Xenopus tropicalis: one gene and its partners. The protein of the gene in region 3 interacts with the protein of the main gene of each other region in a biochemical or structural test. Links are inferred from orthologs where the notes say so. Each region holds a gene or a part of one and is shown on either strand. Other genes may lie near its edges.

What was found. The genes of interacting proteins can lie anywhere in the genome.
Region 1: the proteins of rps6ka1 (region 3) and mast1 interact in a test that uses a peptide from one of them, tested with the Homo sapiens proteins (2 studies listed by BioGRID and IntAct, with this or other methods). The link is inferred for Xenopus tropicalis from reciprocal best matches to the Homo sapiens genes RPS6KA1 and MAST1.
Region 2: the proteins of rps6ka1 (region 3) and pdzrn4 interact in a test that uses a peptide from one of them, tested with the Homo sapiens proteins (2 studies listed by BioGRID and IntAct, with this or other methods). The link is inferred for Xenopus tropicalis from reciprocal best matches to the Homo sapiens genes RPS6KA1 and PDZRN4.

What each region holds. Positions count from the first base shown.
Region 1 is NC_030679.2:140,257,468-140,261,124, forward strand, and holds part of mast1 (microtubule-associated serine/threonine-protein kinase 1), read right to left. Parts: intron 2,475-3,657; coding exon 2,342-2,474; intron 1-2,341. UniProt on the Homo sapiens protein: Microtubule-associated protein essential for correct brain development. Appears to link the dystrophin/utrophin network with microtubule filaments via the syntrophins. Phosphorylation of DMD or UTRN may modulate their affinities for associated proteins.
Region 2 is NC_030679.2:65,054,801-65,058,457, forward strand, and holds part of pdzrn4 (PDZ domain-containing RING finger protein 4), read right to left. Parts: intron 3,342-3,657; coding exon 3,240-3,341; intron 454-3,239; coding exon 337-453; intron 1-336.
Region 3 is NC_030678.2:77,649,085-77,652,741, reverse strand, and holds part of rps6ka1 (ribosomal protein S6 kinase alpha-1), read right to left. Parts: coding exon 3,556-3,657; intron 1,242-3,555; coding exon 1,204-1,241; intron 993-1,203; coding exon 850-992; intron 706-849; coding exon 635-705; intron 1-634. UniProt on the Homo sapiens protein: Serine/threonine-protein kinase that acts downstream of ERK (MAPK1/ERK2 and MAPK3/ERK1) signaling and mediates mitogenic and stress-induced activation of the transcription factors CREB1, ETV1/ER81 and NR4A1/NUR77, regulates translation through RPS6 and EIF4B phosphorylation, and mediates cellular proliferation, survival, and differentiation by modulating mTOR signaling and repressing pro-apoptotic function of BAD and DAPK1.

The sequences.
Region 1 (3,657 bases), on a different chromosome or scaffold from region 3:
GTAAGAGAGCCCAGATCCGTAGATGATAAACCTTCCAAAAACACCAGACCCAGAAGGTCAAAGAGAATTCAGAGTCAAACCCCTACTGTACCCAGGGCTGACTGTCACATCTATTCAAGTGAAGATGAATCTGAAGAGGAGGAATGGGGCTTAAACTATTTCTTCGGTGAAACAGACTCAGAGAGACCTGCTTTTAATAGTGAGGAAGCCACTACAGAATTAAATGTAAATGCTCCAGAGTTTATTCCAGAAAATCTGGATGATGTGCCTTTCCAGGTTTCAGAGGTTGCTCCTGACACATCTATCACAAATGGAAATGAATCTGTACATGAACTTTCAGACAACCTATCGCCTACACTAGAGACTGATACAGATGTTGGCTCCAGAGTTGACTGTGATGAAGAACATATAGAGTCAAGAGTGTTTAACACTAGAGAACCCAGAGTAATCAGACCACCTCAAAGACTTACTTATGATTCTCTGGGCAATAGTACAGAAAAGACTGTGATTGCGGCCCATAGAAGTGCCCACGCCCATGTTCCCTCTAGTGCACACTCTTCAGGTGACACCCCACCCCAGTGTAGATCTGTGGTGTATTTTCAATGTCCTTACTTTGTAGATATACAAATTTGAGTTATGTTACCTACACATGTATGTATCTGTCATATATTATGCATTGCCAATTATATTCTATAAGGTTGCTCTTGAGAGGACTCAAGATTTGTGGTGGGGGGAGAGTGTAACACCCCTAACTAAAGCAAGAAACATGAACAATTGCATAGACAGTTTACAGGACTACATATCCCAGCATGCCGCAGACCTGAGGACCTTGCTGGGGCTTTGAATCCACCAATGATAAGGAAAGGCGCAAAATGTTTTGAGGACCACCCTCCTGGATTATAAAAAAGTGGAGAGAAGTGGGTGCCAGGGATAAAACTGCTGCCTGTTGCCTACCTGCTGTGCCTGCTCTGAGTGTGAGAGCTGCCAGAGGGGAGAGAGACACCTGCAGGGATCCTGGCCCAGGAGAAGCTGCTACAGGGAGAAGCTGACCCTGCTATCCCAGCTCTGGACTTGCACCTGTAAAAGAGCTATCAGTGCTAGCCAGAAAGGGAGCAGGGGGGAGCTGCCTACTGTTGGTAGGAGAGTCCCAGGCTGACAGGCTGCAGAGAGGCCCAGGGGATTACAGATGCTGGAGGGCAGAGCTGCCTGTGTCCAATCTGTTACTAAAGGGGATACAGTGATTTGGAGCACAGACTGTGAGTAACCTGCAACACCACACACTATTGGGGAACTGTGTATTATTAACCAATAGGAGCTAATCCATCTGTTGCTGAACTATACACTCTGCCAAGTCATTTCTCACCTGGAAGGAAAGTGTTTCTTCGCTAAGTTTATAGAGTTATACTGCTAACCGGCAAATGAAAGGAACAGTGCTATTGGCCAATAAGCTAAACTCAATAAGGGCCCCAACGTGCACAAATCATCTGGGACTGTGACAGGGGAATTAAGTTACAACATTTAGCATATATATTTTCTGCATACTTTATATTGGCAATTTAAATTGTGTTATTGTTCTTTGGTATATTGTTATACATATATATCTTGCTTTAATATTTTAAATCATAGTCAGATCCCTGCTGATTGTTTGTTACGCTTAATAAAGAAAAGGGATCTTATTGTTTACCATTATTGTGGTCAGTCATTGGGGTGTCACTGAGTGTGCTGGAGTTACCCATATATATTAGTCTCACCCAAGGGTGTGCTACACAGTGACACAGACAGGAGGGAGCTATGGGACACGGAGTCTGTCCCTCCCACTGCAGGGTGATACAGTGACACAGACAGGAGGGAGCTATGGGACACGGAGTCTGTCCCTCCCACTGCAGGGTGATACAGTGACACAGGCAGGAGGGGGCTATGGGACATGGAGTCTGTCCCTCCCACTGCAGGGTGATACAGTGACACAGACAGGAGGGAGCTATGGGACACGGAGTCTGTCCCTCCCACTGCAGGGTGATACAGTGACACAGACAGGAGGGGGCTATGGGACACGGAGTCTGCCCCTCCCACTGCAGGGTGATACAGTGACACAGGCAGGAGGGGGCTATGGGACATGGAGTCTGTCCCTCCCACTGCAGGGTGATACAGTGACACAGACAGGAGGGAGCTATGGGACACGGAGTCTGTCCCTCCCACTGCAGGGTGATACAGTGACACAGACAGGAGGGGGCTATGGGACATGGAGTCTGTCCCTCCCACTGCAGGGTGATACAGTGACACAGACAGGCAGTGAATATGATACAGTGACACAGAGGATGAGGTGGAGGAATGAAGCCCATACCTGCTTGTCCAGGAATTCCCTTGCTTCGCTCTCGATGTGTCCTTCATAGAGATTAGTGGTGAGGTTCATAAGCCCCATCTTGGACAGGCCGAAATCTGTAAGCTTTATGTGACCCATCGAAGTGATTAGGAGACTAAGGGAAGAGAGTAAATAACAACAAGACAGAAAGTGAGGAGGAAACGTGAAGAGAGAAAAGGAAAACATGCAGTGAATGAGTTTCTGAATGAAGAGTGAAAGTCTGAGTACTGAATTATGTAAGGGAATTAATGAACATAAATAGGGAGTGAACATGTGAATGAGACAATGAATACAGTCAGTGGGTGTGTCAGGCTGTGGGTGTGTCAAGCCATGGGCGTGGCAGTCAGTGGGCATGGCAGTCAGTGGGCGTGCCAGGCAGTGGGTGTGTCAAGCCATGGGCATGTCAGCCAGTGGGTGTGCCAGGCTGTAGGTGTGTCAGGCAGTGGGTGTGTCAAGCCATGGGCATGTCAGGCAGTGGGTGTGCCAGGCTGTGGGTGGGGCAGGCAGTGGGTAAGTTAGACAGTGGGTGTGTTAGACAGTGGGTGTGCGGGGCAGTGGGTGTGTCAGGAAATGGGTGTGTCCAGCAGAAGGAGTGTTGGGCAGTGAGTGTGTCAGGCAGACGGAGTGTTGGGCAGTGGGTGTGTCAGGCAGAAGGAGTGTTTGGCAGTGGGTGTGTCAGGGGGAAGGAGTGTTGGGCAGTGGGTGTGTCAGGCAGAAGGAGTGTTGGGCAGTGGGTGTGTCAGGGGGAAGGAGTGTTGGGCAGTGGGTGTGTCAGGCAGAAGGAGTGTTGGGCAGTGGGTGTGTCAGGCAGAAGGAGTGTTGGGCAGTGGGTGTGTCAGGCAGAAGGAGTGTTGGGCAGTGGGTGTGTCAGGCAGAAGGAGTGTTGGGCAGTGGGTGTGTCAGGGGGAAGGAGTGTTGGGCAGTGGGTGTGTCAGGCAGAAGGAGTGTTGGGCAGTGGGTGTGTCAGGCAGAAGGAGTGTTGGGCAGTGGGTGTGTCAGGCAGAAGGAGTGTTGGGCAGTGGGTGTGTCAGGCAGAAGGAGTGTTGGGCAGTGGGTGTGTCAGGCAGAAGGAGTGTTGGGCAGTGGGTGTGTCAGGCAGAAGGAGTGTTGGGCAGTAGGTAAGTGAGTGAGCATGGGAAGAAGTAAAGGTGAAGCAGAGAAGTGATGGGCAGAGGCAAAGAGTGAAGATTAAGTGTAGAAGAATGGGCGATAAAGAGCCGTGCATAGGGGGGGAGGCAGGCAGGGTGGGAGGGAGGGACGAGGGGGTGAATAACAAGACACAATAATAGTGAGAATAA
Region 2 (3,657 bases), on a different chromosome or scaffold from region 3:
CAGTTTACATGTAAGCATTAGGAGAGGGAAGAAAAACTCCTTCCCCACTGACCCCAGGATGATTCAGTTAAGAGTAAATAGGTCTATGTTATACCTGAAAATGTGATAAATATATATATATTTAATATCAGCAAAAGTGGTATCTAAACACCTCTAAAAGTCATTAAAGAGAAATCGTAACAGTATAAGACAAACAAGGATAAATATGTGTGTAAGATAATAACATACTGAAAAATTACTAAATGAATAGTTGAACATGACATTTTTATATATTTAAAGAGTACCTCTTCAGGGAAAAGTCTAAAAATGTTTAATTTGATGTTTAATAATTCATACCTGTTGCACTTCATTAGCTTTGTATTGCATTGCTTCATTATGTTGTTCTCCCAATTTTTGGTTGTTTAACTCCTCCAAGAATTCATTCCTTTCATCATCCATCCACCCTTCATCCAACTGTAAAGAATACATTAGTACATTATATTATATTATTAGTCATACGTAGTGCTGGTGTAAACCCTAATAGCAATGGCCGGCCAGATCCTTTCATCGTAATGATTCTTTTGAAAAACAGGCCTGTTATACTTTTCTTTACACCAGAAAATGAATGATAATATATGCAGCACTGGTGCTTTTCATCCAGCTCTTAAACAAATGGGCTTACTTGTCTCTAATCTCTTACATCTCTCCTCATCATTTTCTTCAAACCAAATACGTTCATGTAAACAGCTATGTGCCCAGTACACACAAAGCCCAAGCAAAACACATGTTGGGACTGTGAATATAGCCAGGTGCTGAGCAGTCTTCTTATAGGAATCATTATTTAGATATTTGGTAGATTATAAATTTCATTTGGTACTTTGATTACCCTTGGGAATTTAGGAACAGATCAGGCGAATTGATTTGTTGAAACATATTTTTTTCATTTTTTAAGCATTTTCAGTGGCTGCATTGAGCACTAAAACAGTCTCTTTATTTCTATTTTGTAATAAATGCAGCCCTTGCCAGCATGTTACTATGCACTATTGGTACCAAGATAAGAAACATCAGAACAGTTGGGACATGATAAACTGGGATAAAATTAGCTTAAAGCATAGACTGTGAAACTGAATGAAAAGCTCTTCTCACTCTGTGATGAAACAGAGCTGGATGTACCAAAAGAAGTTATTATTCTCCATTTCCTTTCCTTTAGGGATCATTTTAGCATTAATCACAAAGAAACTGTGGAGAAATGGCTTTTCTGTGCAGCTAATTAAAGGCAGTAAAGATTGCTCTGTCATAGTGAAAAATCCCTTGTTCAGAAATATCTGTGCTCATCGAATCTGGCAGTTTACTTGACTGCTCTAAGAAGTCTGTTTAATGATTTCTGGAAAGTCACCAAGATAAGAAGGTAAAAGCTGAAAAATGACCTTAGAATATACTGTATCCTCTTATCACTTTACTACTGAGATCATAGCAGAAAAAAATGTCATATTGAAAAAAAAAAAAAAAAATCAACCATGCCAGCTGTCAAAAGGCACTAGACATTTTACAGAAAGCATCACATCCCTTGGCATGAGAAGTTCTTCCTACACATGTGGGGCAGCTCATTTATTACCTTTTTCTGAAAAAAAGGTGAATTTTGAAACCTTTTTGAAAAAAAACAGCTGGGATTTAAAATGAAATCAAAGATTTGCCATTCATATCTTTACATAAAAAATGAAAACATGGTTGGAAAAATTGGGTGAAGTAAAAATGATCCTTGTGCAAAAACAGAGGCTTAGTTAAGTAAAGCTATATCTACATAAAACAAGTATGACATTGTGACTGATCTAGTTCACCTCTACATTACACTTGCTCCTTGTTTGGTACCCAGCAAGAAAAAGATAATAGCAGGCTAAAGTCCTGGGTTCATTTTATATAGATTTATAAAATAATAGTGCAGCAGAGAGGATGTGCAGCTTAGGCATAGTTGTGACATGATTAATGAATAGAAGATTAATGGAAACAATATGTTTTTTTTTTTGTTGTCTTCTATTTACCAGTCTATGGACCGTACAAATTACAATTACTCAAAAGGGTATGTGTGTTCAACACTTTCCTAGCACAGCTTGTAATAAAATATGTTCTGTTTGTCGTGGCATATCAAACCATGCTGCTGTCGATCCAGTAGGAGAGGGAATCTGCCACCAGACTTGCTGCAGTTGTCTGGCAATGTTGCTGTCTATGTGAGATTTGAACTGAAATCGATATAAATGCCAAGGCAGCATTGTGAGTTATGTCTGTATATCTTCCCAAATGAAACAGCCACCTCACCATCTAGTAGCTATATACTAATTATACACAAAAATAAGCATATATTATTCTTTATTTATATATATATATATGCCGACATATTCTCCAGCAATTCTCCTAAAATAATACACACTCACTGCCCAGTGAAGCTTATAATCTAAAGTTCCTATCAAATTCAAACCAAACTGTCAATTGTAACAGGAGTCAATAAATCTACATATATGTTTTTGGAGAAAACTCACACAGACTCCTTGGCTGGAATAAACCCAGGACCCAAGCATTGCAAGGCAGCAATGCTAATTACTGGGCCACCTTGCTTCTATATTATACAACAAAGTAAATGATTCCATATCAGAATAGTGCAATGTAATGATGGAATTATTAACTTTTATTAGCAACTGGAATGTAGAAAGCCTTAGGTTTGCTAACATCACAGAACATAGAACATGAGAGTCACATATATACAGCAGCACACTACTTTTTATATTGATTTATTCAGTACGCTGCCACCAAGTGGCAAAATGTCACTAAGAGGTAAAGCACCTCCTTTATGGATTGGGCAGGCTGCAAAGAGCAAAAATGGGTGGAAATCACCATGGGTTTGGCACTTGGCACTGAGCAATGCCATTGATATGCTTTCTGTATGACTCCAGCTCTGCCTGCATTCCGGAGCACTGTAGGGCACAACCCTTCCCACCTTCTACCCAGCCCTTGGGGGTCATTTACATTTGCACTGTGCTACAGTGCTTGTTGAATAAGAACTAAGGGTTGCTATTTTGAGCCCCAGTCTTCTAGGACTTTTTTCAGGATACACAATAGGAATTGCTATTCTAATATTTTGTAGCCACATCTGTACTTGATGAAAGCCATCTAATACAAAAACAACAACATTGTACAGCATAGCATAGACAATACCATTGTCTCTATATTTTAGGTCATGATGACAAAGAATATTCTTGTTCACTAACCTGTAACTCTGGTCTCGCAACCAGCAGAGTGATTCTCTTGCATTCATCACTGGAGAGTAATGCCACAGCCTCCTCTCTGTTCTGGATATCTTGGCCATTAATCTGAAAAAATAAATGAAATGGGCACATTAGTTGCCATATCCGCAAGGCAAAACACAATAAAGGGCAAATATCAACTCATTTGTGCTAAATGTATGGACAGTGAAAGTTACACAGAGGACTCATCCTCAGCCCTCGGTTGTAAATGCCTTCGCTCAATTATGCGCTTACTATAAGAACAGTATTGATCTGTGAAGGATGGTGAACATCAGAGGAAGCAGTTATGTTCATAAACGTCTAACCTGCGCCCCAGTAACATACATCTAGCAACACAATTAACTAGCTTCTGACAGGTGACGTTCATCTTTCTCTGTTCAGA
Region 3 (3,657 bases):
AATTGAAGTGAGCAGGATAAACTACAATACCACTAAAACGAATTTTGATTTAAAAAGAAGGTCTATCTACAAACCAAAGTACAATTTATATATGTTTTTTTTTTTCTTTCCTTTCTTCATGCTACCCATTACTGCAAGGTATTCCTAAATGATTATGTCCCTTGACCGCTATAAGACAGCTTGCCCTCTCCTGCACTTAAAACTGATGAGTTATGTCAACAAATAAATGCAGCTACAGGGGCAAAAGAATACTGAAGTGCCCTCAGTTTGTAAGTTCCAGAATATGCTACTTTGCGAGTACCAACATTATGCTAGAATTCTGGTGGTATTCCTTCCCTGATGTGAATTTTTCTTCATTTGTGCTGTTATAAAAATGGCTATAACATTTTCATAAAGAAATAACTCTTAACTTGCTTTTACTAAGCATTAACTTTGTTGTTCTAGCAGCAGCTCACATTTGATTTTTGAGGATAAGAATTGCTCATTCTGTACCAAATTTTAAGCTACTTTTTAGTTTGCTGACAGTGAAACTTATATACAACTGTGAACATTACAAACCATTCTTTCATATAGTAACTTGTATTTCAGCTATAGTTTTCTACGGACACCCTAGATTTTCCAATTTTCTACTTACTTCAGGATTAGAGTCATGGTTTCCTTACGGTCTTTGCCCTGGAATGGCAGTGATCCTGTCAGCATCTCAAACTGTGAATATGGAAACATTCAGAAATTATTGAAATGGCAAAAATGGAACCAGTAATCTGAAAGAGACTGAAAGAACAGATACCAATAGGAGAAAAGGTAAAATAAATTGTTTTGTGTTTATCTAGATATAAGCAAACAGCTTACCATAAGCACGCCATAAGACCACCAGTCTGCACTGTGCGAATGTCCTTGTCGATTCACTACTTCAGGAGCCATATACTCCACAGTCCCACAAAAAGAATAAGCCTTTTTTTCATGGTCTATTGCCTCTTTACTTAGCCCAAAATCTGATCAGGGTAATGCCAAGTATCCAATTAGATGTTACACAGGTGCACACACAAAAAAAGAGACAGAGAAAATTATGAAGCTTGTTCCAAGTTTGTCAAAAGCCTGCATGTATAGAAGAATGGTCCCAACACAAGAGATTGGTATCAGACAACACCAGGAATCGGAGTGGATACACAGGGATGGGAACACAAACAGTTCACAGAAACATACCAGTAAGCTTTATATGGCCCTCTTCATCCAAGAGAATGCTGCACAGCACAGAGAAAGGCAGATGTTACCACCACGTGCCACTCACAATGATATAAAGTAAACAACTGTGGTATGTATCTTTTTTTTAGTTAACAGCCATCATTTGATGTTAAACCACACCTGTGTTCTTTATGAGGTTCTAAAGGAGAAGGAAAGGCGGTGCCAAAATGTTAGGTACCCCCAAGTGACTTTAAGCGCTTACCTTGTACCCCTGGCTGGTGCCCCTGTTCGGAGAAAACCACACCAGCCCAGGGTACCTGTAGTGAGCAGTTCCGCGTTTGTGCTTGCTCAGTAGAGCGAAAGCCGAACTTTAACAAAAAAGTTGGCTTTTCACTCTAATGCGCATGCTCTGGCCCAGGGATTTTGCCGGCAGAAGAAACACGGAAGGAGGAAGCACTCGCTACAGCTACCCCGGGCTGGTGCGGTTTTCTCCGAACAGGGGCACCAGCCCGGGGTACAAGGTAAGCGATTTAAGTCACTTGGGGGTGCCTAACATTTTGGCAGCCCCAAGTGACTTAGACTTTCCTTCTCCTTTAAGAATAAGTGCAGATAAACTTTTATTGTTGCTTTTATTTAGAAAAAATAAACAATATGCCTGAGCAAAGTACCTATACACCAAACCCCCATATGTCAAAAAAAGGCACTAAGAGCGCCCAGTAGCAGTAACCCCTATAATTTTGGAAACAGTAACAATATTTAATTTCATTTTGTATGTTGAGATAGCATAAGTCAATCTTACCTTTAATCAGTGAAATGGAACTTTTTTTTATTGCACACATGTAAGGATGCTAATTATACTAAGAAAAGTGTTCCATTTCATGCTTAAAGGTAAGATTGACCTATGCCAGTGCTGTCCAACTGCTGGCCAGGAGCCCCCCTCTGTGGCCCCCCCACCTGCCTGACTGTTGTGGCTGCTTTAAATGGTATCATTACTGTGATTAACTGGCCCCTTCCATTGTTCACACCTCAGATTCAGGCTTTAAACCCCTGTGTTATTCACACCTGTCATCTCCATGTATTGTTCACACCTTTTAGTCGCTGCATTATTCACAACAAAGGCTCAAACTGTAAGCACTCACACTGTTCACATCTCAGACAGACTGTAGGAGCAGTAACAGATTGTGTCACTTTATGTTCTCTGCCTGGCCTATGCTGCCTATGTGTGCCATATTCTGCCTGACCTATGCTGCCTGTGTGTGCCATACTCTGCCTGCCCTATGCTGCCTGTGTGTGCCATTCTCTGCCTGCCCTATACTGCCTCTGTGTGTGCCATACACTGCCTGCCCTATACTGCCTCTGTGTGTGCCATACTCTGCTACCCCTATGCTGCCTGTGTGTGCCATACTCTGCTACCCCTATGCTGCCTGTGTGTGCCATACTCTGCCTGACCTATGCTGCCTGTGTGCGCCATACTCTGCCTGCCCTATACTGCCTGTGTGTGTTCCATACACTGCTTGCCCTATGCTGCCTGTGTGTGCCATACTCTGCTTGCCCTATGCTGCCTGTGTGTGCCATACTCTGCCTGCCCTATGCTGCCTGTGTGTGCCATTCTCTGCCTGCCCTATACTGCCTCTGTGTGTGCCATACACTGCCTGCCCTATGCTGCCTGTGGGAGGTAAACCTGGCAGAGGTTTGTTCTGGGAGTATTTGGAACTAGTCATTATATGGAACCTATGGTGTGTAATTATGTGCTGGGGGTTGCTATGTTATCCACAGGGGAAGCATATGTCTTAATATTAGGGATGCACCGAACCCAGTTTTTTGGATTCAGCCGAACCCCAAGCCAAATCCTAATTAGCATATGCTAATTAGGATCTGAAAGTGGTAAAACTCGGGGTGCATGTGCGCAGCGGGAAAATATTTTCCCCCTAACATTTGTACTTTCAAGTGCTAATTATCATATGCTAATTTATGTGAATTAGGATTCAGTTCGGCCAGGACCATGGATTCGGCCCGAAACAGAAACCTGCCAAAAAATACTGAATTGAATCCTGGATTCGGTGCATAAACTTCTTTTACATATGAAAAAAGGGTGATTTCCCTACAGTAAGCACCAATCATTTTGGTTTTTCCTGCACTGCCACCATTAATTTGGGTATGGTCTTAAAAGCACTTGTGATTACATGGGTGTGGCTTAAAGTGGACGCAGTTTAAAAAAGGGGGTGGCCTAAATTGGCTTCCATTATTGGCCCTTCACCATGTACAATACCACATAAATTGGACAGCACTGACCTACACTATCTCAACACACATGCAGTCAAACCAACAGTGCAGTGCAGTCAAACTGCCTTAATGCCTGGCTCACCAACATACTTTTCAGGTTTTAGGTCACGGTAGATGATCCCTAAGCTGTGCAAATGATCAAGACCCAAAGCCAGTTCCGCTAGGTAAAACTTCACATCTTCTTCTGTGAAC